Rhinolophus ferrumequinum: one gene and its partners. The protein of the gene in region 3 interacts with the protein of the main gene of each other region in a pairwise test. Links are inferred from orthologs where the notes say so. Each region holds a gene or a part of one and is shown on either strand. Other genes may lie near its edges.

Region 1 (7,592 bases), on a different chromosome or scaffold from region 3:
GCCCCAGATCCCACTGGGAGAGTCACTTAATATATAGTAAATGCAAATTACCTACCTAAAATATGAAAAATTCTGAAACCCATCTGGCCCCACCCCACCATTTTTTTTTTAAAGATTTTATTGGGGAAGGGGAACGGAACTTTATTGGGGAATAGTGTGTACTTCCAGGCCTTTTTTCCAAATCAAGTTGTTCCAAGTCAAGTTGTCTTTTCAATCTCTTTCAAGTTTTTTGAGGAACCTCCATACTGTTTTCCATAGTGGCTGCACCGCTTTGCAATCCCAACAACAGTGCAGGAGGGTTCTCTTTTCTCCACATTCTGGCCCACATTTGCTCATTGTTGATTTATTAATAACGGCCATTCTGACAGGTGTGAGGTGATATCTTATAGCGGTTTTAATTTGCATTTCTCGGATGGTTAGTGATACTGAGCATCTTTTCATATGTCTATTGGCCATCTGTATGTCCTCTTTGGAGAAATGTCTATTCAGGTCTTCTACCCATTTCTTAATTGGATTGTTTGGTTTTTTGGTGTTGAGTTGTATGAGTTCTTTATAAATTTTGGATTTTAACTCCTTATCAGATGTATATTTGGTGAATATCTTCTCCCACTTAGTAGCATTTCTTTTTGTTTTGTTGATAGTTTCCTTTGTTGTGCAAAAACTTTTGTTTGATGTAATCCCATTTGTTTCTTTTCTTTTTGTTTCCCTTGCCTGAGAAGATATATCAAAAAAAAAAAAAATCACTAAGAGCAATGTCAGAGAGTTTACTGCCTATGTTTTCTTCTAGGAGTTTTATGGTTTTGGTCTTACATTAAAGTCTTTAATTTTTGAGTTTATTTTTGGTGTAAGAAGGTGGTCTAGGTTTTTTTTGTTTTTGTTTTTTTGCATGTATCTGTCCAGCTTTCTCAGCACCGTTTATTGAATAAACTGTCTTTATCCCACTGTGTATTCGTGCCTCCTATATCATAGATTAAATTACCATATAGGCATGGGTTTATTTCTGGGCTCTCTATTCTGTTCCATTGATCTATGTGTGTGTTTTATGCCAGAGACATGCTGTTTTGATTACTATGAGTGCTCCTCACATTTTAATGTGTTTCCCGATCTCCTAGGGATCTTGTAATAATACAAATTCTGACTTAGTAGGTCTGGAGTGGGCCTGTGGTTCTGCATCCCTAATACTGTCCAGGTGACACCGGTGGTGCTGGAACGGTCCTGCACTCTGGAAAGGCCTAAAACAAGGTTCTGAGTAATGAGTGTGGTGCCCCACAGGGAGAGGTGCCCCTTACCCTTGGTGGGGGCACTTGCTAAAACATTGATCATCACCCGACCAAAACCTGACTCCTCGTGGCCTTTTCTCCATCCTCCACTGCCATCTGTGCCTCTTCTGCCCCAGATGGGTTCAACCACCCAGCCCCCCGCTCCAGACCTTGGCTGGGCTCCACCAAGTCTCAAGACTCTTCACTCACCTGGTTCCTAGGTACTGCTTACATGAGGTGCTTTTTCGGCTGGCTGACCTCAGACCCCAAGCATGAACTAACTTAGTTCAACTCTCAGATTCCTTAGATGACTCACTATCTCTCCTGGGCATCTCCCCCAGAAAAGTTTTCCATGGTTTGAAAGGTACTCCCTAGCCTCTCTCACCCAGAGATGTGATGATAATGCATTTGCTCACTAAACAATTAGTGACCTGGAAAGTGCCATGGTTTATTTTATTTTTATATCAATGCTTGCAATACCCTGAGAGACTTCTTATACACCCTGCTTTTCTTTTCAAGTTCTAGATTCCCTGGTTGCAGAAACTCAGATTTACGTACTTTCCAAATGAATTTTCCTACTATAAAAGTAATACATATTTGTTAATGGAAATTTAGAAAATATAGATAAGAAGAAAATGGCAACACCAGTAAGCCCACCATCCAGAGATAACCGTTGTAATATTTGTCTCATGGCTTTTCAGCCTTTATATGTAAATCTTGTTTTACAACATCTGCCTCATACTACATATACCATTTTGTAGACTGCATTCACCCATTTACAGTACATTGTGACATTTTCACAAGTCAATCAAAATTCTCCTATACATCATTTTAAATGATTATGTAGTTTGCCACTAAATTGATGTGCTACAGTTGGGCTTTCACATTTTTTTTTTAATCATTTGTGGCTAAAATAAAACTGTGATGAATGTCCTTACTTAGCAAAAGATGTAAGCATGTTCCGATTCTGACACCAATTCCCAGGTGTGTGTAATTTTCAACACCATTAAGTAATTCTCCAACACTAGCTGGGTGTCCTACAATTTAACTCAATTCTGACACTACTTACCTGGAGAGAGCATCAGACCCAGAGGTGATGGGTTCAGTACCACAAGACTGCCTCTTCCCCACGCACGGTTCAGACACCAAGTGCAAATCCAGAGTGTCACCTGTGCTTCCGACCCACTGGCTTAGATCAGAGGTCCTCACCACACCCTCTTTGGGCTTCATTTGCTAGAGTAGCTCACAGAACTCAGAGAATCATGTACTGATGTTTACCAGCTTATTATAAAGGACACAGACGAATAGCCAGATGGAAGAGACGCAAGGGGTGGGTGTGTGGGAAGGGGTGCGGAGCCTCCGTGCCCTCTCCATGCTGGGCACTCTCCCGGCACTGCCATGTGTTCATCAATCCGGAAGCCCATCCTTTGGAGTTTTTATGGATGGAGGCCTCATTATATAGGCACGCTAACTGTTTTGTTTTGTTTGGGGGAGGCAGCAAAAGTTATACTCAGACTGATTTCTGTCTTTGCCAGCAATGTATTTAGCACAGATTCACTGTGGGAATTATAATTTCATAAGCCAATAGCACACAGGATCTCTCTTAAGCTGAATAAAGAAATAACATACTCCCAACAAATGACAGCTTAATCACACTATTGTTCCAAGCCAGGGGAGGTGAAGGAATAAAGTCCAAATTTAATAGGAAGTATTCCTTTATATACAAGTAGGAGAGTCAGTGACCAACCAAAGAGCTGATTTCCAGCTGCCAGAGCAAAAGTTCCCTGTTGCTAGAGCACGTTGCTAGGAAACAGAGATGCCAGTGTTGGTGGTGGGCAGGGTGATCTCCTTCCTGGACGCTGCTCCATGTATCACCATTGTCTTTATCAGCAGTCTTTCACCAATGCCTTGCTAAGATGGGAGTGAATGCCCCAAGGGTCTTCGGAGAGTTTTTAAGGTTAGAGCAGAGTCCCCTCACCCAAACCCAAACTCTCAAACAGTCCTCACAAACTCTCAGTATTTCTCATCTACATGTTTCCTTGCTACCGTTGCTTCTCCCACATATCGATAAGCCCCCCGACTGCTAATCAACAGCAGATGTAGAATGATGACATCTTGGCATGACTTATTTCATTCTTGTAACAAAAGCAATTTTTTTCTTTGTCACAAACGAGCGTATTAAAACAACTTCAGTGATAAGCTGCTAGATGTAAAATCATATTAAATCTATCTGTACACAACACTAGGTACACAACACTAGGTACACAACACTAGGTACACAACACTAGGTACACAACACTAGCAAGTCCAGACTGGATTCTGAGCGAGACCTTGACTCTGACCTGGAAGTCTGACTTAAGAACCCCGGCTCTGTTAGAGCTCCATGCTCCAAACTCCGAAGGCTGCCGGTTCAATTCCCACATGGGCCAGTGGGCTCTCAACCACAAGGTTGCCAGTTCAACTCCTCGAGTCCCGCAAGGGATGGTGGGCTCCGCTCCCTGCAACTAAGATTGAACACAGCACCTTGAGCTGAGCTGCCTCCAGGATGGCTCAGTTGGTTGGAGCGCATCCTCTCAACCACAAGGTTGCCGGTTGGACTCCCGCAAGGGATGGTGGGCTGTGCCCCCTGCAACTAGCAACGGCAACTGGACCTGGAGCTGAGCTGCGCCCTCCACAACTAAGACTGAAAGGACAACAACTTGAGACTGAATGGCACCCTCCACAACTAAGATTGAAAGGACAACAACTTGACTTGGAAAAAAGGCCTGGAAGTACACACTGTTCCCCAATACAGTCCTGTTCCCCTTCCCCAATAAAATCTTAGGGAAAAAAAAAAAAAAAGAATCCCGGCTCTTCATGCTATGCTTAAATTCCTCTCCCTGACTGCTTCTCTGCAGGATTTGTTTTTTTCACAATATTTTGCAAGAGCTCTTTGCATTTTGGTGGTAGGGCTCAGAGTAGGGAAGTGTCTACCTGGGCTGAATAGCAGAAATGGTGTCAAGAGATACCCTACTTTCCTGTGAAGGCAGTCAGCGCGTAGAGGGCAAGTGCAATCCCAGATGGCGGGCGACCAAACCCACACTGAACAGAGGCCCGCAAGATGAATGGGCTTCAACTCCCTTTTGAGAAAAAGCAAGAGCGACACATAGGAGGAAGATGAAACCAAAACTTCCAGAATGTCCCCTGTAAGCACTGACAGTCCAAAGTCATCAGAAGGAAGTGGGGAACCTGAGATAGAGCTGGCCGGGAGTGGCCTGAAAACTCATGCAAATGAGACCCGCCCACAACTGACTGGAAACCAGTCCAGAAGTCAGAGCACATGCTGCAGAGCTGCACTCCTGAAAGGAGAAGCAGGAGGAGGGAGGCTGTGACAGAGAAGGTAAGCAGCCAGGGAGGGTCATGGAGGGCTGGGTCACAGTGTCCCGAGCAGCAGCACAGCCCAGGGGAACACTGGCCTGGGAGACAAGGCTCCTGGGATCATTCAAACTCGTGAGGCCTTGGACAAGTCATTTCACCATTCCGAGCCTTGGCTGCCCCATCTATAATACAGGTATAAAAATATTGTGCTGACTAGGTGTTATTTCAGTGCCTGCTGTGCCTCGCTGGGCACATTCTGACATTATGCCTTCCTCACAGCAACCCTGTAAAGTGGGATTATTAGCCTATTTGACACAGGAAAATGAAGCTCAGAGAGGTTAAGCCATTAGTTGAAGACCTCACAGCAAACACATCTGGTTCCAAAGCCTGCATACTTTCTCCTCCCCGCCTCCCTCTTTCACAGGGTGGTTTTGAAGAATCAAATGGCCTTATGCAAGTGGGAACAAAGCTGTAAAAGGCATTTACCGTCTATGTCTGAGTCACCACACTTAGACCCTTAGCAAGAACTGGGGCTCTCTGTAAACGGTGCAGTGCTGTAAAATGCTCTCTCTCGAGGTGGAAAATGTTGGGGTGATGCTACAGACAATATCTGGCAAACTGAGTTGGTCATAGACAGAGGCGATGCCTTTGGGGTTCTGTTTAGGACTTGCTGTAGCTGAGGTGTCTTCGCTTGGGGGTGAGTAGTGGGTGGCTGCTCCTGCAGAGTCTCCTGCAGAGGCTGGATTCTGACCGGCTGATCCTGAAACAACAGTGGATGCCTGAGTGTACCACAGCAGATAAGGGCTAAGATGTTGATGCAACCTTGATCTTCCCTCCAGAAAATATAGGTCGGCTTTGAGGGGAAGAGGAGGTCCTTAAGAGGAGCAATACAAGCTTACTGTAGTCAAGTTAGAATTTTCAGATAAGATCATTAAAAAAAAAAATCACAAACACCTATAATCTTATCCCCAAAGGTAACCATTGTTGACATTTTGATGTTTGTTATTCCAGACATTTTTTCCATTGGGTACATATATGGGAAAATTGGATTATATTCTAACATGGTTTTATTAATAGTTCTTTTCATTTAATGACATATCGTGAACATATTTCCATATGAATAGATGTTTTATCACATCATTTTAAAGGTTGCAGAATGTCTCTGCATATGGATGGAGCAGAATTTATTTAATCAATGTCCGTCTATTAGATAATTAGGTAGTTTTCAATTCTTCACCATCAGAGCCGTGCTCTATGGTATCTCTGCAATGGAATCTTTGCACAGCCCCCTAGTATTTCCATGGGATAGATTCCCAGTGGGGGAACTGCTGAATCAAGGCAACGTACATGTTAAGGCTTTTGATGCAGCACTACAGGTCTGCTTCTGGAATTCCGGGAAGGAGGAGGAGGGGGAGGGGCTCCTCAAAACTCAGTGCAGAAAACGTTTTATAGCCTCTAAGTTGGCCTTCACCCTTCCTCTCTCTCAAATCCTTTGGCAGCGATAATGCCAACCACCTCATATATGGTCGTTCCTGGGTGCCAGGCTCTATCTGAGACCTTTACCCTCTGATGTACTATATATTTCTAGCTTCCTTTTCAGAAGAAGAAAATGAGGTGCAGAAAGGTTAAGCAATTCAACTGGAATCATGGGCCTAGTAAGCAGTGGATTTGGGTCACGAGCCTTGACAACGAGGTTCCAGAATCTGTGCTGTCCAGTTTCTGGGGAAGTGCTTTTGATTCTCTCTCAAAGATATCATTTACCTCATGCCTTTGATCTTCCTGCCATCAGCTGACCTACTCAAGCACCCACATACCAGCTTGGAGCACTGCTGGAGACCCACGGCTGGGCTTCTCTTTCCACTCTGTCCCTTCAGTCTGTCCTCTGCTCTGCCATGGAATGAAATGGAAACAGGATCAGGTCGCCCTCCCCCCACCACACCTCCCCACCCATCCAGAATAAATCCAGATGCATTTCCCAGCTTGCAGGGCTGGCCTCCTCCCTCTCTGGCTTCATCCTGAGCCTCTTTCCCACCCCAGCTCCACTGGTTACACCTCAGTTACCCTGGCCTCATTTCAATCCCTCAATTTGGCAGAACTTTTCTCACCTTATGGCTTCGGTACATGTTGTTCCCTTGACTTAGAATATTCTTCCTCTGCTCTGCACTGCCAGACTCTTATCCTTCAGTCTCAGCGTTCATGTCACTTCTTTGGAAAAATCTTCCCTGGTACTCTCATCTGAGGCAGCCATCCCCTCGCCCACCAAAGCCCATTTTCCTTGTTGTCCTTTATAGCAGTCATTAAACTTATACATTTATTTAGTGCCCGTTAGTCATGAAACGTCTCTTTCCCTCACTAGACTTTAAAGACCATGAGGTGAAAGACCATGTCCATTTTGTTCACCATTATTGACCCAACGTCTCACACAGCACCTGGCATATAGTGAGCACTCAGTAATTCGGTAACTTTGTAGAACGGATGAATCGTTCACAGAATAAGGTGTTCATTGGTAAGGATCCTTGGTAAACTATCCCAGCTTTGGTCAGAGCTGTTCCATCCTCCTTCTGCAGGTCTTCAGTTCCTCTCCCCTATGTGGAGCGGTAACAGGTCTAGAAGAAAACCAGGAAGCCATACGTGAGAGAGTACAAGCAGGTTTTGCTTCAGGTATCAACTCAGTCAAGGTAGATAACGTCATAGCAGCGGCACAAGGGAGACTCACTGCCCCCAAGTGCCCCCTGCACAGTTCCTGGATTCCTACCACAAGAGACCTGTGGCCATGAGGAATCTCCTGAGAAAATACAAACACATCTAGTTAATAAGACACATCCAGCAGGTAACTGCATGGTTGCGTGTTCTGCCTTTATGATGGCACCGGTGGTGAACTACTGGCAGTCCTAGTGTCACTAGCTGGGTGACCTTGGGTGAGAGTCACTTTTTGCCTTCCATCTGCAAAGTGTGTTTTTAGGACAGAGAAGTGGT
Region 2 (6,972 bases), on a different chromosome or scaffold from region 3:
TGAAATATTATTCAGCTGTAAAAAGGAATGAAATACTGATAAATGCTACAATGGGGATAAACTTTGAAAACATTACGTCGACCAGACACCAAAGGTGTATACATATTGCATGATTCGGTTTATATGAAATATCCCAAATAAATGAATCCATAGATACGAAAAGCAGATTGGTGGTTGCCGAGGGCTGGGGGAGAAAGGCACAGGAGGAACTGCTTAATGGGTATGGTGTTTCCTTTTGGGGGGATGAAAATGTTTTGAAAATACACAAAGGTGGTGCTTGCACAACACTGTGAATGTACTCAATGCCACTGATTTTTTTGCTTTAAAATGGTTAATTTTATGTTATATGAATTTCACCTCAAAAAAATATTACTACATAAAAATGCTTTGTACATCCAAACAATGGAATATTATGCAGCCATAAAAAATTCAAGGACATTTTAATGACATGGAAAAATGCTTACAATGTAACACAAGTGAATAAGTAGAATAAAAATTCTGTATGCAGCATATTACTAATTAATTATGTTAAATAAAAAGTGCACAGAAAAGAAGACTACATAAAAATAAAATAAAATGTTTGTTATACAAATTAAAAAATATGGAAAAATTTATGTTTCCATGGTCTGAGTGTCTACTAAGTATTGGGCACAGTGAATGAGATGCTTGAAGATCTGTCCTGCAATGGAGAGCAGGAGACCTGGGACAGTGGCCCTGGGTCTAGAAAGAGCTGGGAGGTCAGCAGAGCCAGATTCTTCTCTGTTCTCTGCCCCAGACTCCCTGGGTGACCCTTCCAGGTCTCAGTCGTTCTCTCTCACAAAAGGAGAGGGTCAAAGGTGAGCCATCTAGAGAGCCATCCATCCTCTTGGTGTTTTCCCCAAGAAACACCTGCCCATGTGCCCAAGGCCACACATTCAGGATGATCCCAGCAGTATTGTTTGTTGTCATGAACACCTGGAATAACTGAATGTTCACCCACAGGGGAATGAGAACTAAGGTAAGGTGGTCAACTGCTGGGCACTCCACTTAGAAGGAATGAACTAGACCTCTCTTTCTCATCCTGGCTAGACTCTGACAACTTAATAGGAAGGTGGGGGGAGAAGATAATTGCAGAAGAATCTCACAGGTCGATAGCATTTACATAGGTCTTTAAGACATGGAAAGGAATTCTATGTATTGTATATGCATCCATGTATATGTAATAAATTTATAAAGGCACAGACTGGAAGGGCTGTAATTCATGACAGTGGTTGTCTGTGGGCAGGGAGAGAAACAGAACTGAGAGGAATACAGTGTGGTGAGGTTTTAATTTTATCTTACTTTTAGTAATTTTATTTTTTAACCTGAAGCAAACGTGACGAAACACTAACATTTGTTAATCCTGGATGGTGGGTTCCTGGGATATGTAATATATTATTCTCTTCACTTTTTTGTATTTTAACCCCTCCCACCCAAAAAAAAGGACAGTGACAAGAAAGCTGTGGAATAAGGGAACTGTTATTTGAGGCCTTTCTCTGTGCTGGCCACAGGTTACACCAGTGGTTCTCAAAGTGTGGTCTCTGGACCAGCAGCGTCCGCTTCTCCTGGGAATGCAAATTCTCGAGGTCCTGCTCCAGAACAACTGAATCAGAAACACTGTGATCAGGATCCAGATATCCATGTTTTAACAAGCCTTCCAGGTGGTTCTGATGTCTGATAAAGTTTGAGAACCACTGGGCTAGACCGTGATAACTATGACCATGGTTACCGTGTATTAAGCATGTATACCTACCTGTCAGGCAGTGCTGTAAGAGCTTTCCTTCAGTAACGCAAGCTAAGCAGCCCTGTGAGGGAGCCATTATTATTATTATATCCATCCTATAACTGCGGAAACGGAGGCACCGAAAGACCAAACCCCCTGCCCAAAGTCCCACAGGCAGGTTGTTCCCAGAAGCCCCCTTCCTTAACTACGGCACTAACTGTCTCCCACATACAGGAAACTCTAACATACTCTAGCTCACTGCAACACTGGAAGAAAGAATTAATAGCTCCATTTGACAAATGAGAAAACTGGAATTCAGAGAGGAAGAATGACTTGACCAAGGTCTCACGAAGAGGAAAGTGGTGAGGCAGACATCCTGCGGTCTGTTCATGAGGTTTTGGGGTTTGAACTAGACATGCTGGAGATCAGAGCCCAGAGGAGAGGGAAGGGGAGGGGGAGGGGGAAGAGGAGGAGGAGGAAGAGCAGCGAGCGTTCCCAGCTGCAACCCTGCCTGGGTGTGGCTCGCACGTCGCGCCTACAGCCAGCTGTCCCCTTCCCCACAGCTGCCAACCCGCCGTGACCCGTCACCCACCCCCACCAGGAACCGTAGGGGCCTTCCCCTCCGGGCCTTCGTGAAGCCCCATCCTCTCTCTCTCTCTCTCTCTCTCTCTCTCTCTCTCTCTCTCTCTCTCTCCTCTCTCTCTCAGAAGGGGAACCTGGACAGCACAGAGAAGTGGCGGCTCCAGCATAGTCACTCGGCGGCCAAGCTTCCCTTCTGCTCCAACTCTCACAGGTTGGCAGCTGGGGAATTCCGCCCCTCATCTGGGCACCCTTCTTCTCGGTCTGCCCCTCATCCCACCGCCTGTCGGTCCCTTTCCCTGCACCCCAGCCTACCCTGCCCACCACTCGGGCTCCCTCCGCAGCGGGAAGACCCTCAGTCTGAGCACACAGGCGGGTGTCTCCCCGTCCGGCACTCACCTGGGCGCCCGCTGCTCGTCCGGCGGGCAGCCCGGATCCTCGCAGCTCGAGCGCCCCCCCAGCTCAGCAGCTCCCGGGGTCCCAGAGGGCCCGTGCCCGAAGGATGACCGACTGAGTTTGAAGACGAGGCTGGGGCGGCCCTGCGAGGTGCTTCCGTGCCGCGGGTCTTTTCGGGCTTCTCTGGCGCTGACCTGCCCTGGTCCCTCTCCGCCTGGCCTCTAGGCTTCCCCGGTATGCCTGGGCTGGTGCCGCGTACTCGGCGGCGCCCACAGGCCATCTGAGCGCTTTAGCCGCGCCCGGAGCGATGCTGACCCCGCCCCCGGAAGATTTTAACTCCACCCCAGGGATCCTAATCTCCGCCCGTACCTCCCAGGATCCTAATCCCGCTGCCTAAAGATTTGTTAACACTGCCCGTCTCCCGTCGGAGGGCTCTAACCTTGCTCCCCCAAGGATCCTAACTCAGTCCCTGATGGATATTAACCCCGCCCCCACGAATTTTAACCTCTCCTCCAAAGATTCTGATCCCATCCCCTCCCACCAAGTATCCTAATGAATCCTCTCTTAATGAATTCTAATACCTCCTCCTGACACGCTAACCCTATCCTAAAGGGATTAAAAAGCCCACCCCCAGGATCCCAACCCATTCCCCCCAAAATCCCAAACCCCGTCTCCTCATCCCAAAATCCTAACTCTGCCCCAAGCGATTTTGAACCCCACATCTGAAGGGTCTTTAACCTCTCTCACCGAAGGTTTCTAATCCTGCCCCAACGATTCTAACCCGGTCAACCGAAGAATCCCACTGCTCTCTTCAAAGAATTCTAACCCAGCCCTCAAGATTTATAACCCTAACCTCGGGATTCTAATCCCGCTCTTGGGCGATCCCAGCCTTGTACCCAAAGGATTGGAATCCACGCCCCTCCCCCCAAAATTCTAATCCGGTCCATCCAAAGATTCCAGCCCGGCCTCCAGGGATCCTACCCCTACCCCTCATCAAAGGATTCTAACCCCACCCTCTTCACTCTGACGGTGTTCTAATCCCTCTCCCCGCCCTCCCCACCACGCATTCTGATCTATTTCCCCCACCGTTCAATCCTCTCCCTCTAGCCCTCCCCTCCCCCACGCCGCGTCCCAAGCCTTCCTGGCCCTTCTGTGGTTAGCGGTTTCCGCTCCACAGGCCCCGCGCTATTTAAACGCCATGCAAAGTTCCTCGCCCGCAAGAACTGCCCTGTTTCATTCCTGGCCGGTTTCCTGGCAGTTCAGAAGACCTCAAAAAAGGAGGGGGCGAGAAATCCCGCCTCCAGGAAGAGAGATACAGGTTCTGGGGACATGAGAGGGTCACCGTCAGTGTCTGCTACGTCTTCTTCCACAGATTGCCGTTGTGACGGCAAAGGACCATAGATCGCTGAAACATTCTCCTGCTTTTTTTTTTCTATTAAAGTAATGCTGCAGTATAAATCCTTGTACGTGTTTCCAAAGCTCCTATCAATTTTATTATACAATGCTTTTATAAATAAAACGCACCATTACAAATACTCCTCTTGATGAGTTTTGGCAAATGTATACCCCTGTGTAACCATCACCCTAATCAATATAGAACACTTCTTCTATCACCCCAAAAAGTTCCCTTATACCCTGTGGCAACCACTGATTGGTTACCTAAGCTAATTATAGATTAGCTTTGTCTTTTCTAGAATTTACATAAATGCAATCATACAGTATGTTTCTTTTATGTCTGCCATCTTCTACTCACATATTACTTCTGAGACTTTCCATATTGTTATGTGTTCCAGTATTTTGTTCCTCTTTGCTGCTGAATACTGTTCCATAGTATAAATGCATCACTATTTGTTTATCCATTTCCTTTTTGGTGGACATTTGGGTTGTTTTCAGTTTGGGGCTACATGAATAAAGCCGCTATGAACATTCATGTACAAGGTTTCGTGTGGACATGTTTTGATTTCTATTGGTTAAATACTTAGGACTAGAGTTGCTGGATCATATTGTAAGTGTATGTTTAACTTTATAATAAATTACTAAATTGTTTTTTAAAATGATTCAACCAATTGCAATGTATGGTTTCCAGTTTCTCTATATCTTGCCAGTTTGGTATTGTCATTATTTTTAATTTAAAAATATTTCCCTTCTAACTCTTCTAACTCAAAAAACATTTATACAATTACAAATTTTATCCTAAAACACTGTCTTACCAGTATTTGTGGTGGTAAACCTTTTGTCTATTCTCTCTTTCTTTCTTTCTTTCTTTCTTTCTTTCTTCCTTCCTTCCTTCCTTCCTTCCTTCCTTCCTTCCTTTCCTTCCTTCCTTCCTTCCTTCCTTCCTTCCTTCCTTCCTTCCTTCCTTCCTTCCTTCCTTCCTTCTTTCTTTCTTTCTTTCTTTCTTTCTTTCTTTCTTTCTTTCTTTCTTTCTTTCATCATGGGGAATATAGCTGACCATAAGAAGTGCTGCTAAATATTGCATCTTTGGAGTCAGACTAGAGTTCAAACCCCGACACTACCATTTATCAGCTGAGTGATCTTGCACAAATCATGTCACCTCTCTGACCTCAGTTTCCTCATCTGTCAAGTGGGAATAATAATGGTATTTAGCTCAGTGAGTCATTGTGAGACTCAACTAGCATCTTATGTCCAAGGGTGATAAAAAAATATATATATATATAAGAAAAATAAAGCAGAGCAAGGGGAGAGGTAGCAGGGATGGGGGAAGGAGTGATAGTGTGACTTAAGATAGAGTGGCCAGGGAAGACCTCTCTAATGAGAGGGCATGTGAACAGAGACCTGCTGAACTGGGGGAATACATCATGTGATAATCTGGGGGCAGTGTGTTCTAAGCAGAATAGTAATAGCAAAGATCCTGAGGTGCAACCACACTTGGTGTTGTTAAGGAATTCAAGGAGGCAAGTGTAGCTGAAACAGAGTGGGTGCAGGGAGCATGATATAGATGATGGTGGAGAGGTAGTGGGGCCAGACTGTGAGGCCATGAATGTCTTGGTATTGACAGTGTACTTTAATTGACACGAGACGGGAGCCATTGGAGGGTTTTGAGCAGAGGAGTAAGCCACACTGGCTTGTGTTTTAATGGGATCTCTCTCACTGCTGGGTGGAGAACAGATTGGAGGGACCAGAGGGAACTCAGTGAACAGGCTGAGACAGTCATCCAAGGGCAAGATAATGACGGCATGGGCCAGGGTGGTGGCAACTGACAATTGTATGAGCTCAGAGAAAGAAAAGATCAAAATGTTTGAGACGTCATGGGTATGTACAAGGAGAGTCACTGCAGCACCGCTTTTACTAGGAAAGAACTGGAAATAACCTAAATATCCATCACTTGGGGACTGGAAAAAATAAATGATACTACAATAACCAAGTACCAGGCAATTGTCAAAAAATATAAGGATGTATAAAAACTAATTGTATTTCTATCCACTAGCAATGAACAATCTGAAAATAGAGTTAAGGAGAAAATTTCATTTACAGTATCACCAAAAAAAATGAAATACTTGGGAATAAATTTCACAAAAGAAGTGCTAGATAGTCTGAAAACTAAGAAACATTCTTGAGAGAAATTTAAGAAGACCCAAATAAAGTCATCGTGTGAGATGGGAAAGATAACTCATGGAGAAGACATCCCTTCATGGATTGGAAGACCTAATATTGTGAAGATGATGATACTTCCCCAATCGATTGACATAATCCCTATCAAAACCCCAGATGTCTTTTTCTTTTTTTAAAAAAAATAGATAAGCTCATACTAAAATTCATTTAGAAATGCAAGGATCCCAGAAAAGCCAAAACAATTTTGAAAAAGTAAAATAAAGTTGCAGGACTCACACTTCCCAATTTTAAAGCTTATTACAAAGCTATAGTAATCAAGATAGTGTGGAACTGGCATAAGGATAGACATACACATCAATGGAACAGAATTGAGAGTCCAGAAATAAACTCTCACAATGATAGCCAAATGACTTTCAAAATAAAGGTGCCAAGACAATTCAGTGGGGGAAAGAATATTCTTTTCAATAAATGGTGCAGGAACAACTGGATATTCCTATGCAAAATAATGAAGTTGGACCACTACTTCACACTATTCACAAAAATGGATCATAGACTTAAATGTGTGAGCTAAAACTATAAAACTCTTAAAAGTAAATGTTAATGACCTTGGGTTAGACAAAGCTTACTTAGATGTGATAGAATTGACAAAAGAAAAATAGATAAACTGGACTTCATCAAAACTA
Region 3 (7,675 bases):
AATTCGTTGCCCTCCCCATTCTCTTACAAACATCCCTCTCCCCAAATATAACTTATGGCAAGAAGCAGTCATAGATGTCATTTATATTTAATTTTTAAATGTAACCTATGATTTTTTTTTTTTTGGCAGCAACATTGTTTTCCTAACTACGACATTAATATTAAACATGGTGCTACCTAAAGACACGATGACTGGGTAGAAGAAGGGGCAGTCTGGAAGAGCACTCAAGACCAATTGAAATGTAAGTTATCCATAATTGGAGATATCTGAGACTTTATTACAAAAATATTTTATTATGGTAATGTGGTTTAAGGTATTAATCACTAAAACCAGTGAACTTTAAACTTTGGTGCACGTTTGTTATACATCAAACCGTAAGTGGCCTCAAACAGTATGCCTTCATGTCCAAATCTTTCGAACAACAGAATTCAATCCACTTACTAAGAAATACAATAGGGCAAGAAAGCATGGACATGTGTTTCTGAGATTTCAAAACCTCAGAAGATTGATAACATTATACAGAGCAACCTCTGAAATTTTGCAAATGATATAACAGCAGATCTACTTTGAAAAGGCACTACTGACAATGAAGCTCTCCTCAGCAATACACAACTAATTTCATAAACACTGTAGAAACTACTAAATGTAGAAGGTTAACCCCACAAAGAGATGAGCAACTGTAACTGAAAAAACATACGAACAAAAAAATCATGTTTAGCCTCTTCCCCTCCCATTTTCTAAGACATTTATATCAAGGGTTTCAAGCATGTTAAAAAAATGTATGCTCACATTATGATAGGCTAGCATTTCTTATTTCGAGAAATAACGCTACTTCCTAAGTCAGGACATGGAGTCAGAATACGTAATTATAATTTCTGGAAAAAAGAACATGAATAATTTATTATAGCTCTGAATCCTCATGTAAAATATTAAAGATGAAAGAAATTAAGCACCACCTCCTACTCAGAGAACTATCCTTTTCCCAAAATTAGATTTTACATCTTACATCAAAATATCACTGTTAAAGTTTCCTTAGTCATTTAAAACATGAATTAGATATTGTTTCATTTTTTAAAAGCTATTTATCCTTAGTAGATACTTTCCGTTGTAAATGATATGAAAGTTCTCATGTGGCAAAACCTACTCTTGCTCTGTTATTTAAAACTAGAGTACTATTAATAAAAATCATCAAATGCAATTTCATTACCTGGAAAAATAACTATCTTCTAGAAACTATCACTAATCAAGAAATCAAGAGACATTTTTATATATCTAGAAGAAAAAGTGATTGGCTTCATATTAGCACTTCCATTCCAACCTTTTCAAAACAGATGGAAAAAAATTAACAGTCCTTTCATTGGAGAAGTCACAAAATTTCTGATATGCAATTCTATACTAATCAAAAATTATACCAACTTTTTCATGACTAACAGGAAACAGAAAGAATGCTAATGGCTATGCAAGGAGAGGATGCATATCTGATATTTATATTGATATGAATCCAATGGGCATTCTCTTATTAAAACTGGTAAGTAGCAATGATGATTTCTTAGGAAACCTAATGTTCAAAGAGCTTTGCACATCATTGATTATCTTATTTTTATGTACTTTAAAATGAAAGACCCATTCTTACACTTAAAATAACCTAGTTAGAAAAAGCTCTTTATGCAATGTTAACCTATGATGATTTCTAAATATTGTAATAATACGCTAATTTAATTTTCTGCACAATGTGGTAGATTTTTTGTTTTTGTTTTTTGTACCCACCACCACTCCACCCACAACCACAACCAAGATTAGAGACTAAAGCAAATGATCATCGTTCACACACTCTCAAAAATAAATCCTGACTTTTGGAAATATAGTCAAGTACAAACAAAATCTCAATGTTAGAAGTCATTTGAATGATTGTAGGGAGCTCTGGTGGTGTCGCCTGTAATTTAAGGACTGTAAACCGAGAAGGACATTGATACTATTGTGTTTATCCCTCTAAATTTTCCTCAGCGCTTTTATCAAATTCCCCTAAATAGTTCATGCATGCAGGGAATAGTATGTCTGTGTGCAACAACAGACGTTCATCTGAAATGGTTAAAAATAATCAGGACAGTATCTGTCTGGATATACAAACCTAGTTTATCAATGTGAAAGTATATCTAAAAACCCAAATGTTAAAAGATGGGCGAAGGTATTCCTATGACAGAATCTTTGAGCTTAAATCTTAGCTTAATGTAATATGTAGGTTGGTGCAATTCGTTCCTGTTGCCTCCTCCTAGATATAGAAGGAAGGTGGATGGCAGGACCCAGGGAGACCTAACGTCGATCTACACCCCCTTTCCACTCCAACCTCACCTCCCTCTTTTCCTTCACACAGACACAGACGCACTCTCCCTGACATTTGAAAGCCCAGGTGCCCCAGGGGGCACTTTTCTAGGGTCGTTTCACTGACGCGATCTGATGACTGCAGTTGAATGCCGCCCCGTCCAGCGCCCAAAGCTCACCTCTAGCTTGTGGTTGATTTGGGACACAGTTTGGGCTTTGTGGCAAAGCTGCGCAAAGCAGGAGCTCAGGCTGGTCATCTTCTGTCGCCCCTCATAAGTGATGTCCGCCTGGTCCGGATCGATCTCGCCTAGAAGCAGATCCACATCCACGAAGGCCTTGTCGAACTCCTTCTCCAGCACCTCCAGCCACCGAAACATGGATACCCCACCGGGGGAGACGCCCACGGCGCAAGATGCGCTCCCTGGGGCCCCTCCGGCTCCTGCCGGGCACGGGCCGCCCGCCGACATGGCGCCGTCTAGGGCCACTGCCGACTACTGCTGACCCCCACCGCCCACCCCGCGCTACAGGAACTGCTGGGACTGTGAGGATCCCCGTGCACGCACGCTCCTTCCGTCCCGTCCCTTCCCCTCGCGCGGCTAACGTTGGCAATGCAGCCCCGAAGTGGCAGGAGCAGCCACCCTGAAGAAGAGACGGTGGCACACGGAAGAATCCAGCAGCCCCACCACCCGGTCAGCCCCGACTGCGCATGCGCAGCCAAGACCTAGGCGGGAGCAGCCGGAGGGACGTAGTGGGCGGGGCTAAGATGCGACCTTGGCCTATGAAAAGCCTCTGCAGGGGACCGGCCCGTCAGCGGCCATATTGACAACTGGCAAACTCCCTCTTGAATGCGGGAGAAACGGAGGGGCATGGTGTCCCCTCCAATTTGGAAAGGCCAGAGGAAGAGAAGGATGTCCATGTGTCGCCCAGAGGAACGACTTCCGCCTGTTTGACTTCACAGTGGGTGGGAGCCATTCTAAAGTCCGGGAAAGTTGTGGCGGTGACGCCCTGTAGGCGGGGAAGGGAGAGTGAGGATGGGCGTGTGAGCCTGCGCAAAGGCCACGTTTTACCTTGAACATCCCAGTTCCTGGTTAGGGTGGGGTGGGTGGACACACTGGCTCATCTTGGTAAACCAGGCCCTAAATTCACAGTGGACTCTGCACATTGAAGGACTGTGGTTGACCAGGTTTTGCTGAATTAATAGTTTTGTCTTGTGATTAAGAGTCAGGCAAGCTTGGATTCAAGTCTTAAACCCTGTAACATATCAGCTGTGCCATCTTAGTTGTATTCTCTTGAATACAATCTTGAAGCCTCAGTTGCCAAAATTCACTCCGTAATGTAAAATGCTTAGCTTCAGTGCTTGGCATTTGGTATTCTTTATTATTACACTACAGGTCATTTCCAGAAACTACTTAAAACGGTGTGTTTATTTCAAAAACTGGTACAGTGTTCCCACACATGACATTTCAGAAAAACAAAATTATGACGATCTATATATTCATAAATATATTGAATGCAGAGCCCTGCTGAGGCATTGGGGATACAAAATGGAATAATACGTAACACTCAAGCAGAGCTCAGAGGCCAGTGAGTCTAATCCTCAAAGCTACAACTTTAATTTGAATTTTGCAGTACCTTTGAGAGTGTTTAGCAACTGCTCTTTGCTATTCTGCGTACTCACTTTCAACCCCCTTCCACCTCAAGAGTAGCCCAGTCTTGGAAAACGAAGGAAAAACCAATCTGAATAGTGTAGGTTGATAGGAACTGCCTCTCCATTGCCTAGGGGGAAATTTTACTGGCAGGCTACAGACTCTTCTGTGATCTGTTCATGGGACAGACTCTTCCAGTTCATTACCACCAAAGCCTGCACTGTGTACCCCTTGCCAACACAATGCCAATGAAGAATAAGAAATCATAGCTTTAGTTTGCTCTCTGGGTACTGTATGGCAGACTGGATAGCATCGGTCAATAAAGTCCTTTGGCTTGGTTCAGCAAACTTAGCTAAGCAAAACTAACCATGAGATCCTTTCCTTGAGCTGAAATAGGCACCTTCATATAGGTTTTAACACACAAGAAATAACATAAAATTTGTGTCTTGCTCCATTACCTTCCCAATTAACTTTATTTTCATCTGCAGTACTTGCAAGAACATCATTACTATAGCTACCAAGTTCCCAGCCACCTTCTCTTGTTAAACTAAAAAATTTTAACTTCCATGGCTGAAGGTCTTTCTTTAAGTAGTGTTTCATTGACCCAAACATGCTAGCCAAAAGACTGGTCTTGGAGCATGGAGTCTGAACCACCAGCAAGCAGCATGGCTAGGTAGAAAAGACAACATGTCTGTCGTCCCAGAGTTTTGCAAGTGTTTTTATACATCAAATATGGGAGAGGGGGAAGAAGGAGATAGTCTGAAAGAATTTACATGAGCTGTAGGCAAAAAGTTGGGGAAAGGTGAAGTCCCGGGGGCAAGTTTTGAGATAGCAGAGTCCACATGAAGAAATGTCTGCTAGGACACCAGTCTAGAAAGCTCACATATGAGCAAGAGGAGGCTCCTGGAGTTAGGTGGTGGCTGGCTAAAATAATCTGCAGAAATAACCACCTGGAAATTAATCTGAAATTCCAACAGGCAAAACAGGGATGTGAGAAATCTTTTTGTTAACTGGTCAGCAGCCATTAGCAGACTAGCAATACTGTCACTTTCTCTTACTTTCCAGTCGCTGTAAATTAATTTGGACCTTCGCAGAAATTTTTTCTTATAACTTTATGCATAATATAGTTAACAATGTATTTTTCAGGAATTTGGAGCAAATAATTTAAAATGAGGTGGGGCACATAACCTGGAATCACAATAATAGCTTTCCATTATGCAGTGCATACTATGTGTTAAACAAGTGCTATTTGTTTACTTCTTTGACTCTCACAAAATCCTGTGAGGTAGCTATTGTCACTTTTTTATAGATGAGTCACAGAGAACTTAAGTATCTTGTTAAAGTAATACAGCTAAAAGCCGACTGAGGTGAGATTCCACTCTAGGTATCTTTTCTTCTAAACTCTTGAAAGTTAAACACGGGTTATAGAAGGATGAGGGAATCTATTTCTTGTATAAGTTACCAGTATTATAAATTGGCAAATCAGTCAAAAAGGTTTTTCGAAACAATTTCTTCCCAGTTGTAGCCATATGCGAATCTATTAAAAAATATATCAATCAACTTCCTGCTATATTGTATGGGTAGTACTGAAATGTATTTTAAGTGTTTATATGTTTCCAGTGCTCTGATCCTTGGTGAATACCCCCATTTTCAGGATTGTGGAATCCAATTAGCTTCTGTTTCCAATCTTTTCATCTTCAACAAGTCACATCCTGTGTCTCAGAATACTTTCATCTCATATTGTCCCTTCTCATTACCATACTATGTAGCAACTACCACATTCCTATATACTTGCTATCTTGGTGCTATGTGACTAATTCAAATACGAGGTGCCCTCTATAGACATTTTTTACCCACCTTGATTGGGGTTTTGCATTTCTGCAAGTTAAATTTAACATGCCTGTGAAAAGCAGGGTTTGATGTTCAACTGCTGCCATCTGTTGGCTGTGCGCTCTACCTACATTTTTTATTTTGACCTACTTTGGAATTGGGAATTGTATTAATCTCAATACTTATGGGATTTATTTTCCTAGAGGTAAAATCTTTATACTTATATTTGCCATTGCATTGGCAGAACCTTCAATAACTGTTTCAGGAATCATGCTTACATGATTAAAAATTTCTAGCATAACTTAAATGTGACAGTCTTGTTTTAGGAACTTACCTAACAGTTTCACCACAAGGTATTGCTAGGAATAAATAGGGTGGGGACTGAGGAAACTGAAGAAGAAAGATGCTAAAGATTTCTTTGGTAGGTACTGGTAATTAGCTGTGAGATTAGACTTCAAATATTTCTTAGAGCATCATTAAGTCCCTGTAGCGAATGGACATAGAAGTTCTACTTTGGACTGGAAAGGGGGACTACCATTTAATGAACTCTACTGTATACCAGGCCCTATATTAAGCTTCACAAGTATCATTTACTCTCCAATGTCCCTACCAGGAAAAGGAAAAGCTATTAAGTAAGTGCTATTGGTCACAATAAATTGTTTTATATATTAGAAGAAACCCAAGGAAAACCCATTAACATTTTGCTTAAGATATGTGGGAAAAATTCTGGAATATATCATATTCATATGTATTATTTATGTCATATTTATTCATATTTACTAACAATTTGAAATTTTGTGATAGACATACTAATGAAGTACGTGTGGGCATTCCACAGTGATTTAGTGGCCTCATTCTCCTGATCATTTATATGAGATCTGACAATTAAGTTCGCGAACTTGTGGCAATGATGTTACTAACCTTTTTTGATATCAGAGGGATTATTCACTATGAATTTGTACCAACTGGACAAATAGTTAACCAAGTTTACTACTTGGAAGTGCTGAAAAGGCTGTGTGAAAAAGTTAGACGCCCTGAACTTTTCGCCAACAGTTGATGGCTCTTGCATCACGACAATGCACCAGCTCACACGGCACTGTCTGTGAGGGAGTTTTTAGCCAGTAAACAAATAACTATATTGGAACACCCTCCCTACTCATCTGATCTGGCGCCCCATGACTTCTTTCTTTACCCCAAGATAAAGGAAATACTGAAAGGAAGACATTTTGATGACATTCAGGACATCAAGGGTAACACGATGACAGCTCTGATGGCCATTCCAGAAAGAGAGTTCCAAAATTGCTTTGAAGGGTGGACTAGGCGCTGGCATCAGTGCATAGCTTGACAAGGGGAGTACTTCAAAGGTGACCTTAGCAATGAGATATGTAGTAGCACTTTTTCTAGGATGAATTCGCGAACTTAATTGTCTGGCCTTGTATATACCTATGGAATAATTGTTTACTCTCTTGTTCCTAAAACTTGAGAATTTTGGTACAGTGATTTAGGATTAGTTCAGACACCTCTTCCAGAAAGCCTTCCTTTTTTTCTCTTCATATGAAGCTATGGACTCCATCCCTATTTAGTTTCCTGCGAATACCTGCTATAGTTTTCATCATATATTTTTTTTGGAGCCCCTTAGACTGTGGCAGCAATAGCTCTACCTCGTTTACTTTGAATGCAGGTCCTGTGTTAGTACTTAATATAGTGCGAATGCTGAAAATATTTGTGTGATCAGTTGAAAAATTAAGATATTACAATTTCAGAAGTAAGATTTTCTTTTTATCAACCTCAACTTCTTTTTTTGAATATGGAGAATGCAAAAGGCAACAAACAGAACTCCTCAAAGAAGTCAAAGGAGAAAAAAAAGACTTGCAAATTCC
Region 4 (7,458 bases), on a different chromosome or scaffold from region 3:
TGGACAGTAGGGGCTGTCCCTGGGGCTGGGGCAAATACTCAGTGGGTGCCAATGCCCGGGTCTCTCACCAGAGGGCCAGCCGGGCCCGGGGGTAGTCCAGCCGCTCGAGCGCGCCCAGGTAGTGGGATATCGAGTGTTCGGCATTGCGGGCCAGGATGGCAAGGACCACGGCGGGCGGCAGCAGCTCGGCGACGCCTGCAACCTGGAGCCGCAGCCCCAGCAGGAGCAGCAGCTGGAGCAGCCCGGCGGCGGGGACAGCGCGCATGGCGGGCACTCGGGCGGCGGCGGCGGCCCCCGGGGCTCCCGGCCCGGCGGAGGGGAGTGGGCGGTGCGGCCGGGCCGGGGCGGGGCCCGGGGCCGGGGTGGGGCCGAAGCGGCCAGGAGGAGGAGTTGGGGGCACGTACCCCCCAAGAGTGGGTTCTCACTCCCTACCCCTATACGGGGGTTCTCAAGTGTCTTTTCCTCTGCCAGGGGCACCGCAGGGCCAGGACCGGGAGACCTGCCCCAGACGCAACCCGGGAGCAGCCCCCGCCCGGCTGGAAGCCGGAGGGAGAAAGGGGGAAAGATGGGAGGGTCTGGGGTGACGGCATCCGAGCCGCCCCGGCGTCTGCGAACTCGCCACTCCAAATCCCTGAGCGTGCAACCCCCAGAATCCGGCTTCACCGAGCACCCGACGCCCCTGAATCCGGATCCCTGTGACCTCAGTCCCACGGACCTCAACCGCCCACCCCGCGAGACAGGATAGACTCCGCTCGGCCCTTCCGGGGTTCCCCGGCCCCGCCCCCTCCACCGCCCCCGGGCGCCCCCTGGCGGGCCCAGATGGAACTTCGCAGAGAAGCGAGGCGTCGCGTGGGCCTGAGAGCCGGCTTGCGGGGCGGGGAAGGGGTCTGTCTCCCTGACCTGGGCGCCATCCCTCTGCAGTCCGAGCCTGGCGTCCCCCGTGCGACATCGCCCTCGCTTCAGTCGGCGGCACTGGCACTGCTCCGGTCCTTTAAGAGAGCAAAGTTCACTCTTAGACTGAGTGCAAACCAAGAGGGCACCACACAGCCCTTCACGGTGTCCTAGCCCCCCTCCAAAGCAAGCTTCCCTGGGGCAGAGCTGGGGTCCTAGGCTCTGCTGAGATGGAAAGGGTCTCCAGCTTCTCTTAGGAGAGGGCAGGAAAGGTGAGGGGTCTGGAGACACCAATGGAGGGTTCCAGCTTCACATTTGCCACGGACCTCCGGCAGGGCATTTTCCCTGAGCCTCAGGTCCTCATTTGGGCTAGATTGCAAGAATTCCTTGAGAGAATGAATGCATTTGAAGCTTCTCTGCATGGAGCCTGGCTCCAGGAAGAATTCCTGAGTCTGGAAGACAAGACTGAAGAGGAAGCCAGGCTCCCCTTTCATTCACTGTCCCCACCCACCCACCAGGAAGGTTTCCTACTTTCCTATGGCAGGTTTGGGTCTCTCTTCAGCCTCTTCCCAGAGTCAGGGAAGAGGGCTAAGCCCGTGCATACTATTTCCACTGAGAGGAGAGAGGTGGGAGTTCAGCAAGGAATGAACCTGCCTAGTGATGGGACAGAATGTGGGGTTGTGGAACCCTGGAGGCCAGGAGTCCTGGCTCCAAAGCCTCCTCCAGGCCCCAGTTGAAGCTTCCGGGGGCGGAGGAGGGAGGGAGTGCTTTCTGGCCAGCGGCCCTGCAATGGAAGGCCTAAGGCCTCTCCCTGCTGCTACTTTTTGGAGAAAAGAGAAGCTACCACCTGGGAACTCTCATTTCTAGCCCCTAAACCTTCCACCCTCTGTCTCCAAGCTGGCCTCTGCTCACACTGGCTGGTACAATGTTGTTACTTCGGCACAACAGAACCACTCCTGAGCTCCAAATGCCATCCCCTTGCCCTTCCTGAATTGCCAACCTCCCTCTCTTCTAGATTTTTCCTTCCACATTCCAAAGGATTTAAATCTCCCCCAACCTCAAATACAAAAACACCAAGCTGCAGCCCTGCTTCTCTCTCCCTTCAAACCTCTTGATAGGGGAATCTGTGCTTTGTTCCCAGTCTTGCTTCCTCATCTCTGTTCACTGCTCGACACAGGCCCAGGCTGCTCCAGCCAAACCGCTCCTGCCAAGACCAGTATCCTCCTGGCCACTCCTTCAATGGACACTTTCTCCTCACCCAAGAGGGCTCTCCTCAGCAGCTGACCACATGGACCACTCCCTGTTTCTGGAAAACTGACATGTGTCCCAACTGCCCCCCTGGAGCCAAATTCCATCTGTCCAAAACAAAACCTCAATCTTTCCCCCAAACCTGTTCCCCCTCTGGAGGCCTCCCCACTCTAGGGAACAGCACCTCCACTTACCCAGTCCCTCAAGCTGGAGACCTGGGTGTCACTGATGACAAGTCCTTCTTTCTCAACCAGGTCCATCCCTCATCCTGGCAAGACCACCTCCTCAACGTCTCCTGTATGTGGCACTCGCCTGGCTCAGGGTATCAGCACCTAACATTCACCCGGGCCCCTGCACCTCCCAGCCTCCCACGCCACCCTACCCCACTTTCTCCCTGGAAACCATTCTGCACTCAGCAGTCCTTTCTAAAATGCCTGACATTAACACCCTGACGGGGCCGAGGCCTGCCCTCAGTATAGAGCTCAAACCCCTCAAGGGGCAATGAGGCCCTGTATGGCCTACCTGATGCTTTCCCAACTCCTCTGACCGCCCCTCCCACCCAAGTTCCTGCTCCAGCCAAACTGGACTATGTACAGTTTCCAGAACACTCCATGCTTTAGGACCTTCCCACATCCTTTTTTGTTGTTCGTTCATCTGCTTGAACTGGTCTTTCTGGCAAACTCCTACAGGCCCTTTGATCTCAGTTTAAACTTCCTTCCTCTGGAAAGCTTTCCCTGGTGTCACGTCGGGGGGACATACCCTTATACGGCATCCTATGTAACCCATTCATTCAGCAAGTATTTATGGAGTACATGCTAGGTACAGGTAGAATTCTAGGTATAGGGGTATCCGAGACAGACCATCTCTGCTTCTCAGGCGCTCACATTCCGGTGAGAGGAGACAGACAGGAAACAAGCAAACTGATAAATTAATACTGTGTTTCCCCGAAAATAAGACCTACCTGGATAATCAGCTCTAATGCATCTTTTGGAGCAAACATTAATATAAGACCTGGTATTATATATATTATATTATATTATATTATATTAACCTAGTCTTATAGTAAAATAAGACTGGGTTATATTATATTATCTTATATTATACCCAGTCTTACAGTAAAATAAGACTGGTTCTTATATTAATTTTTGCTTCAAAAGATGCATTAGAAACAAACAAACAAACAAAAAAAGATGCATTAGAACTGATTGTCCTGCTAGATCTTATTTTTTGAGGAAACACGGTAGGTAGTTTCCCCAAAACTAGGGAAAAGGTAGGTAGAACAGTAAGGGCTATATGAACAAAACGAGTTAACAAGAACAGAGAACAGCTGGGGGGTGGGTGGTAACGTTGAGCTGAGGGGTCAGAGAAGACATCACAGAGCATAAGAGGAGCCAGCCAGGAGCAGCTCTGGGGGAAGACTGTTACATGTGGAGGGAGCAGGTGGGGCCAAGGTCCTACGGTGGGAAGAAGCCAGGCCTGGGCGGTCGGAGCAAAGTGAGGCGGGGGAGTGTGGTGAGATGTGAGGACCATCCAGGGCCTTGAAGCCATGGCGGGATTTTGACATTTTTTTTGAAGTACAATAAAAAGACATTGGCGGGGGGAACCAGAAGAGTGACATGATTTGTCTTTAAAAGATTGTTCTTGGGGTGGCCAGTTAGTTCAGTTGGTTAGAGCGCGGTGCTCTTAACAACAACATTGCAGGTTCGATCCCCACATGGGCCCCTGTGAGCTGCGCCCTCCACAACTAGATTGAAACAACTACTTGACTTGGAGCTGATGGATCCTGGAAAAATAAAAACAAACAAACAAACAAATAAATAAAAAGATTGCTCTTGCTGCAGCTCAGAGGGTGGACTATGGGGGCAAGGATGGAAGCCGGGATACCCTCGGACAGGGAGAGATGACAGGGGGCAGGGTTGAGGTGTGTAATGGGATTAGATGTGGGTGATGAAGCGAGGAATTAGGATGACTTACATGGTTTGCAGTCGGGCTGGATGGTGGGCTAGTTACTGAATACAGAAGACCGGAGAAGGTGGGATGGGCCAGTGCCAGATGGCTCAGTTGGTTGGAGTGGGGGCTTTCAACCACAAGGTTGCCGGTTCAACTCCTCGACTCCCGCAAGGGATGGTGGGCTGCACCCCCTGCAACTAACAACGGAAACTGGACCTGGAGCTGAGCTGCGCCCTCCACAACTAAGACTGAAAGGACAACAACTTGACTTGGAAAAGTCCTGGAAGTACACACTGTTCCCCAATAAAGTCCTGTACCCCTTCCCCAATAAAATCTTTTAAAAAAAAAAAGAAATACGAGGAGGTCATTGCAGAAGTGGGCTGATCAAGCACCTGTACTCCCACTGACATTCTTTTTTTTTTTTGCCCCCAAATATAATAATAAGACATACTCCACAAAGGTAATATTGGGCCAAATTCACAGCAATTCTAAAGCAGGTTTGCAAAGTATGATCCTTGGTCCAGCCAGCATCAACCTCCCCTGAAAATTGTTAGAAATGCAAAATCCGAGGCCCCACCCATACCTATAGAATCAGAAACTCTGCGAGTGGAGGTTAAAGCAAGGAGCCTTGAAGCTGCTGTTCCATGGGCCTAAGCCCTCATCCTCCGGGTCATGTGGAATACATGCCTGGAAAAAAATTGGGCCCATCTGTCGGAATAGGGCCCAGACCACCCTGGAGAACACCTAGTGCAGCTCTGGGTTTCGGCACTCCCATATTGTAGTTCTGATCGAGGCCAGGTGGTGGAGCTAGCGCCTCAGGCTTCACTCTGGCATCAGGAACTAGAGACCCCAGAATTGTCCCCCTCCCCAGTGCCTTCTCCGCTGGGAGCCTCAGCTCCAAGGCCGGCCCACTGGCAAGGGCTCTGCGGGTGGCCTTCATCAGGGAGAGGATCGCTGAGGCTGGCACACCCCAGGTGGGGGCCAATCCCCTCTTCCAGGAGGTTAGGAAGGTGGGCTAGAGGAGACCCCTTGGTCAGAGAGAAATTAGGGGTGTTTGGCCTCTGGGACTGGGGGTCAGGAACCCAGGAAGGTGGCTCTGGTCCAATTGACTCTGGCCACACTGCCATTAACCCTCTGCCTACCCTGCTCAACCTCAGACGAAGTCTCAGGTGTAGCTTCCCTGCCAGAGGCTGGGGGCAGCCTGGAGGTAACCCAAAGCCCAGACAGAGCCCCAGGGTTCGGGGTCCTCACAGCCTGGCAGTCAAGCAGCCTGAGAACAGGGGCCCACAGTCAAGGAGATGCTTGTATGGAGCTCTTTCTTACCAGCTGCCAGCTTCACGTCGCCTGGGTTGGGGGCTCTCTGGGCCCGTCCTGCTTTGTGGCCAAGGGAGCCCAGCATCCTGGCCAAAGGAGGAGCCCACGCCCCGCTTCTGGTCCTGGGGGCAGCTCGGCAGATAGGAGTCCAGGAGGCCCGCCTGGGCTCCCACCTCAGGTTCCAAGCCCGGGTCCCAGAGACCCAGGGCTGAGTGCAGGCTTGCCCCCCATCTGCTCCCCTCATCTTTCCTATTTGAGGGGACACAGAGACCTCCCAGTCCAGCTGGAGTCACCCTGCCCACTCTGCTTAGACCTAGCCTACCTTGGCCTCTGCTCCAGGAATCTGCCCACGCACTCTGATCTCCTGCAGTCCCACCCAACACCCACACCCACTCCAAAGGACTCTCCCTCTTGGCCATGCCTCCCTCTCCCAGGACCCCAGTGTAGAGCTGTCCTCTGAGGCTCTGCCTCTGTCCTTAGGAGGCTGGGGCCCGGGCCAGCTGTTTTCTCCAGACCGCCAGCTGTTTTGCCCATCAGGAAGCAGCCCTGGCTCCTTTGCCTAACCGGCTGCAGCGTGGCAGCCCTGCCTGGGCCAGAGCCTGAGCGCTGTTAACTCCTCTGGGCCCAGACACCCCTTCCCCTCCCGGTCCAGCCCCTCTGCCTTCCCCCTAACCCACAGGAGTAGCTGGTCACAAGACGTCTAGAGACCTCAAGAAGACAAAGCCTTGCTATCCACACCCCCATAAATGACTGCTAACCTGCTCCCCTCCCCTCAACAGAGCCTTGTCCTCAGGTGACCCCAGGTGAGAGAAAGTTAAAGGGATACTTGTTACCCCGTTCGGAACTATAATAATAATAGCTATCATTAACTGAGTGCTGTGTGCCAGGCATGGTGCTGAGTGCTTTAAATACGTAATCTAACTTAATTTTCACAACAACCCTGTGATGTAGGGAATATTTTCATTTTACAGATGAGGAAACTGAGGCGTGGGAATCTAAGTCACTTGCCCAAGTCCACACAGAGTTGGGGTTTGACAGGGGGCTGCCTGCCTCTCTCTGGTCGGCCCTATTCGCTCCAGAATCGCTGTTGGTGTTGCTATTTAAATTTCCCCGAGCTCCTCCCTGCAGGCTGGCTTTCCCTGGTCTGGGACTCAGTGGCACCATCTGTGAAATGGGAAAACTAAGAGGTGGAACCGCCAGCACCACCAGATCCCGTAGCCTGAGGCTGGAGCTGTGCCAGGCTCTGCACTCAACACCTTCCCAGTATTTATTAGCAGATCATTCCTCTTGGTGGCGGCAGTCGGCCTGGGCGAGGAGCCCGGCTCTGCTGCTTCCTGGCAGCTGGCTTGGGGCAAGAGGCTCTCCCTGTCAGACTTTCAGTGTCCAGAGCTGGAAAATGGATATAAGAGCGGTACCTACGGTCTCCTCAATTTTGTTGTGAAAGGATGAGATAACGCAGGTAGAGCGGTTAGGCCAGTATCCAACACAGAGAAAGTGGGTGGCAATATTACCTCTTATTATTATGACCATTAACCCCAATCTGGAAGGATCAGGATGGCCCACCCACCACTGTACATCCCCACACCCGGCACAGAGCTGGAGGCCTCTGTCCTTACTTTGTTAATGAATGAACCCTGGTCCAGTGGTACCTACATGGGGACAGCAGGCTGTGAGAAGGGCACAACTACCCAAGATCACAGTTACCAGGAAGAGCTATGGGGGCCCCAAGGTGCCCTGCTCTTAGCTCCTGCACCCCTGCAGCTTTCCCTCCTGAAGCTGGCCCCTGGTCTGGTGGAAGAGGAGGAGGGACAAGGAAACAGGGACAATCCCAGGGCTGAGACAGCCCAGAAGGTGACTGGGCCTCGGCTGGGTGGGATCTCAGGGTCTGGGAACGACCCCTCAGGATGCAGTGACCCGTGCTCTCCCCCTTTGTCCCCTCCCTCCTGCCCACCATGGGTCAGCTCCCTGGTCCCAGCCTAGACATCTGGAACTGGGGCAGACAAAGGACTGCAGGGAGGGACAATAACCTTCTGTCCATTTTCAGATGGTGGGTCT

What was found.
Region 1: the proteins of GOPC (region 3) and RNF183 interact in binary tests that used the Homo sapiens proteins (3 or more experiments, as listed by UniProt). The two-hybrid records come from large-scale screens. The link is inferred for Rhinolophus ferrumequinum from reciprocal best matches to the Homo sapiens genes GOPC and RNF183.
Region 2: the proteins of GOPC (region 3) and HCK interact in binary tests that used the Homo sapiens proteins (3 or more experiments, as listed by UniProt). The two-hybrid records come from large-scale screens. The link is inferred for Rhinolophus ferrumequinum from reciprocal best matches to the Homo sapiens genes GOPC and HCK.
Region 4: the proteins of GOPC (region 3) and CERCAM interact in a two-hybrid assay, tested with the Homo sapiens proteins (2 studies listed by BioGRID and IntAct). The two-hybrid records come from large-scale screens. The link is inferred for Rhinolophus ferrumequinum from reciprocal best matches to the Homo sapiens genes GOPC and CERCAM.

The regions. Positions count from the first base shown.
Region 1 is NC_046295.1:65,194,068-65,201,659, reverse strand, and holds the start of RNF183 (E3 ubiquitin-protein ligase RNF183), read left to right. Parts: upstream 1-4,578; 5' UTR 4,579-4,638; intron 4,639-7,592. UniProt on the Homo sapiens protein: Acts as an E3 ubiquitin ligase catalyzing the covalent attachment of ubiquitin moieties onto substrate proteins. Triggers apoptosis in response to prolonged ER stress by mediating the polyubiquitination and subsequent proteasomal degradation of BCL2L1.
Region 2 is NC_046306.1:22,499,433-22,506,404, forward strand, and holds the start of HCK (tyrosine-protein kinase HCK), read right to left. Parts: upstream 3,015-6,972; 5' UTR 2,720-3,014; intron 1-2,719. UniProt on the Homo sapiens protein: Non-receptor tyrosine-protein kinase found in hematopoietic cells that transmits signals from cell surface receptors and plays an important role in the regulation of innate immune responses, including neutrophil, monocyte, macrophage and mast cell functions, phagocytosis, cell survival and proliferation, cell adhesion and migration.
Region 3 is NC_046286.1:68,269,937-68,277,611, forward strand, and holds the start of GOPC (Golgi-associated PDZ and coiled-coil motif-containing protein), read right to left. Parts: upstream 3,008-7,675; 5' UTR 2,787-3,007; coding exon 2,499-2,786; intron 1-2,498.
Region 4 is NC_046295.1:77,277,556-77,285,013, reverse strand, and holds the start of CERCAM (inactive glycosyltransferase 25 family member 3), read right to left. Parts: upstream 3,015-7,458; 5' UTR 2,930-3,014; coding exon 2,899-2,929; intron 990-2,898; coding exon 901-989; intron 317-900; exon of another isoform or gene 266-316; coding exon of another isoform or gene 203-265; coding exon 69-202; intron 1-68. UniProt on the Homo sapiens protein: Probable cell adhesion protein involved in leukocyte transmigration across the blood-brain barrier. Does not express any beta-galactosyltransferase activity in vitro.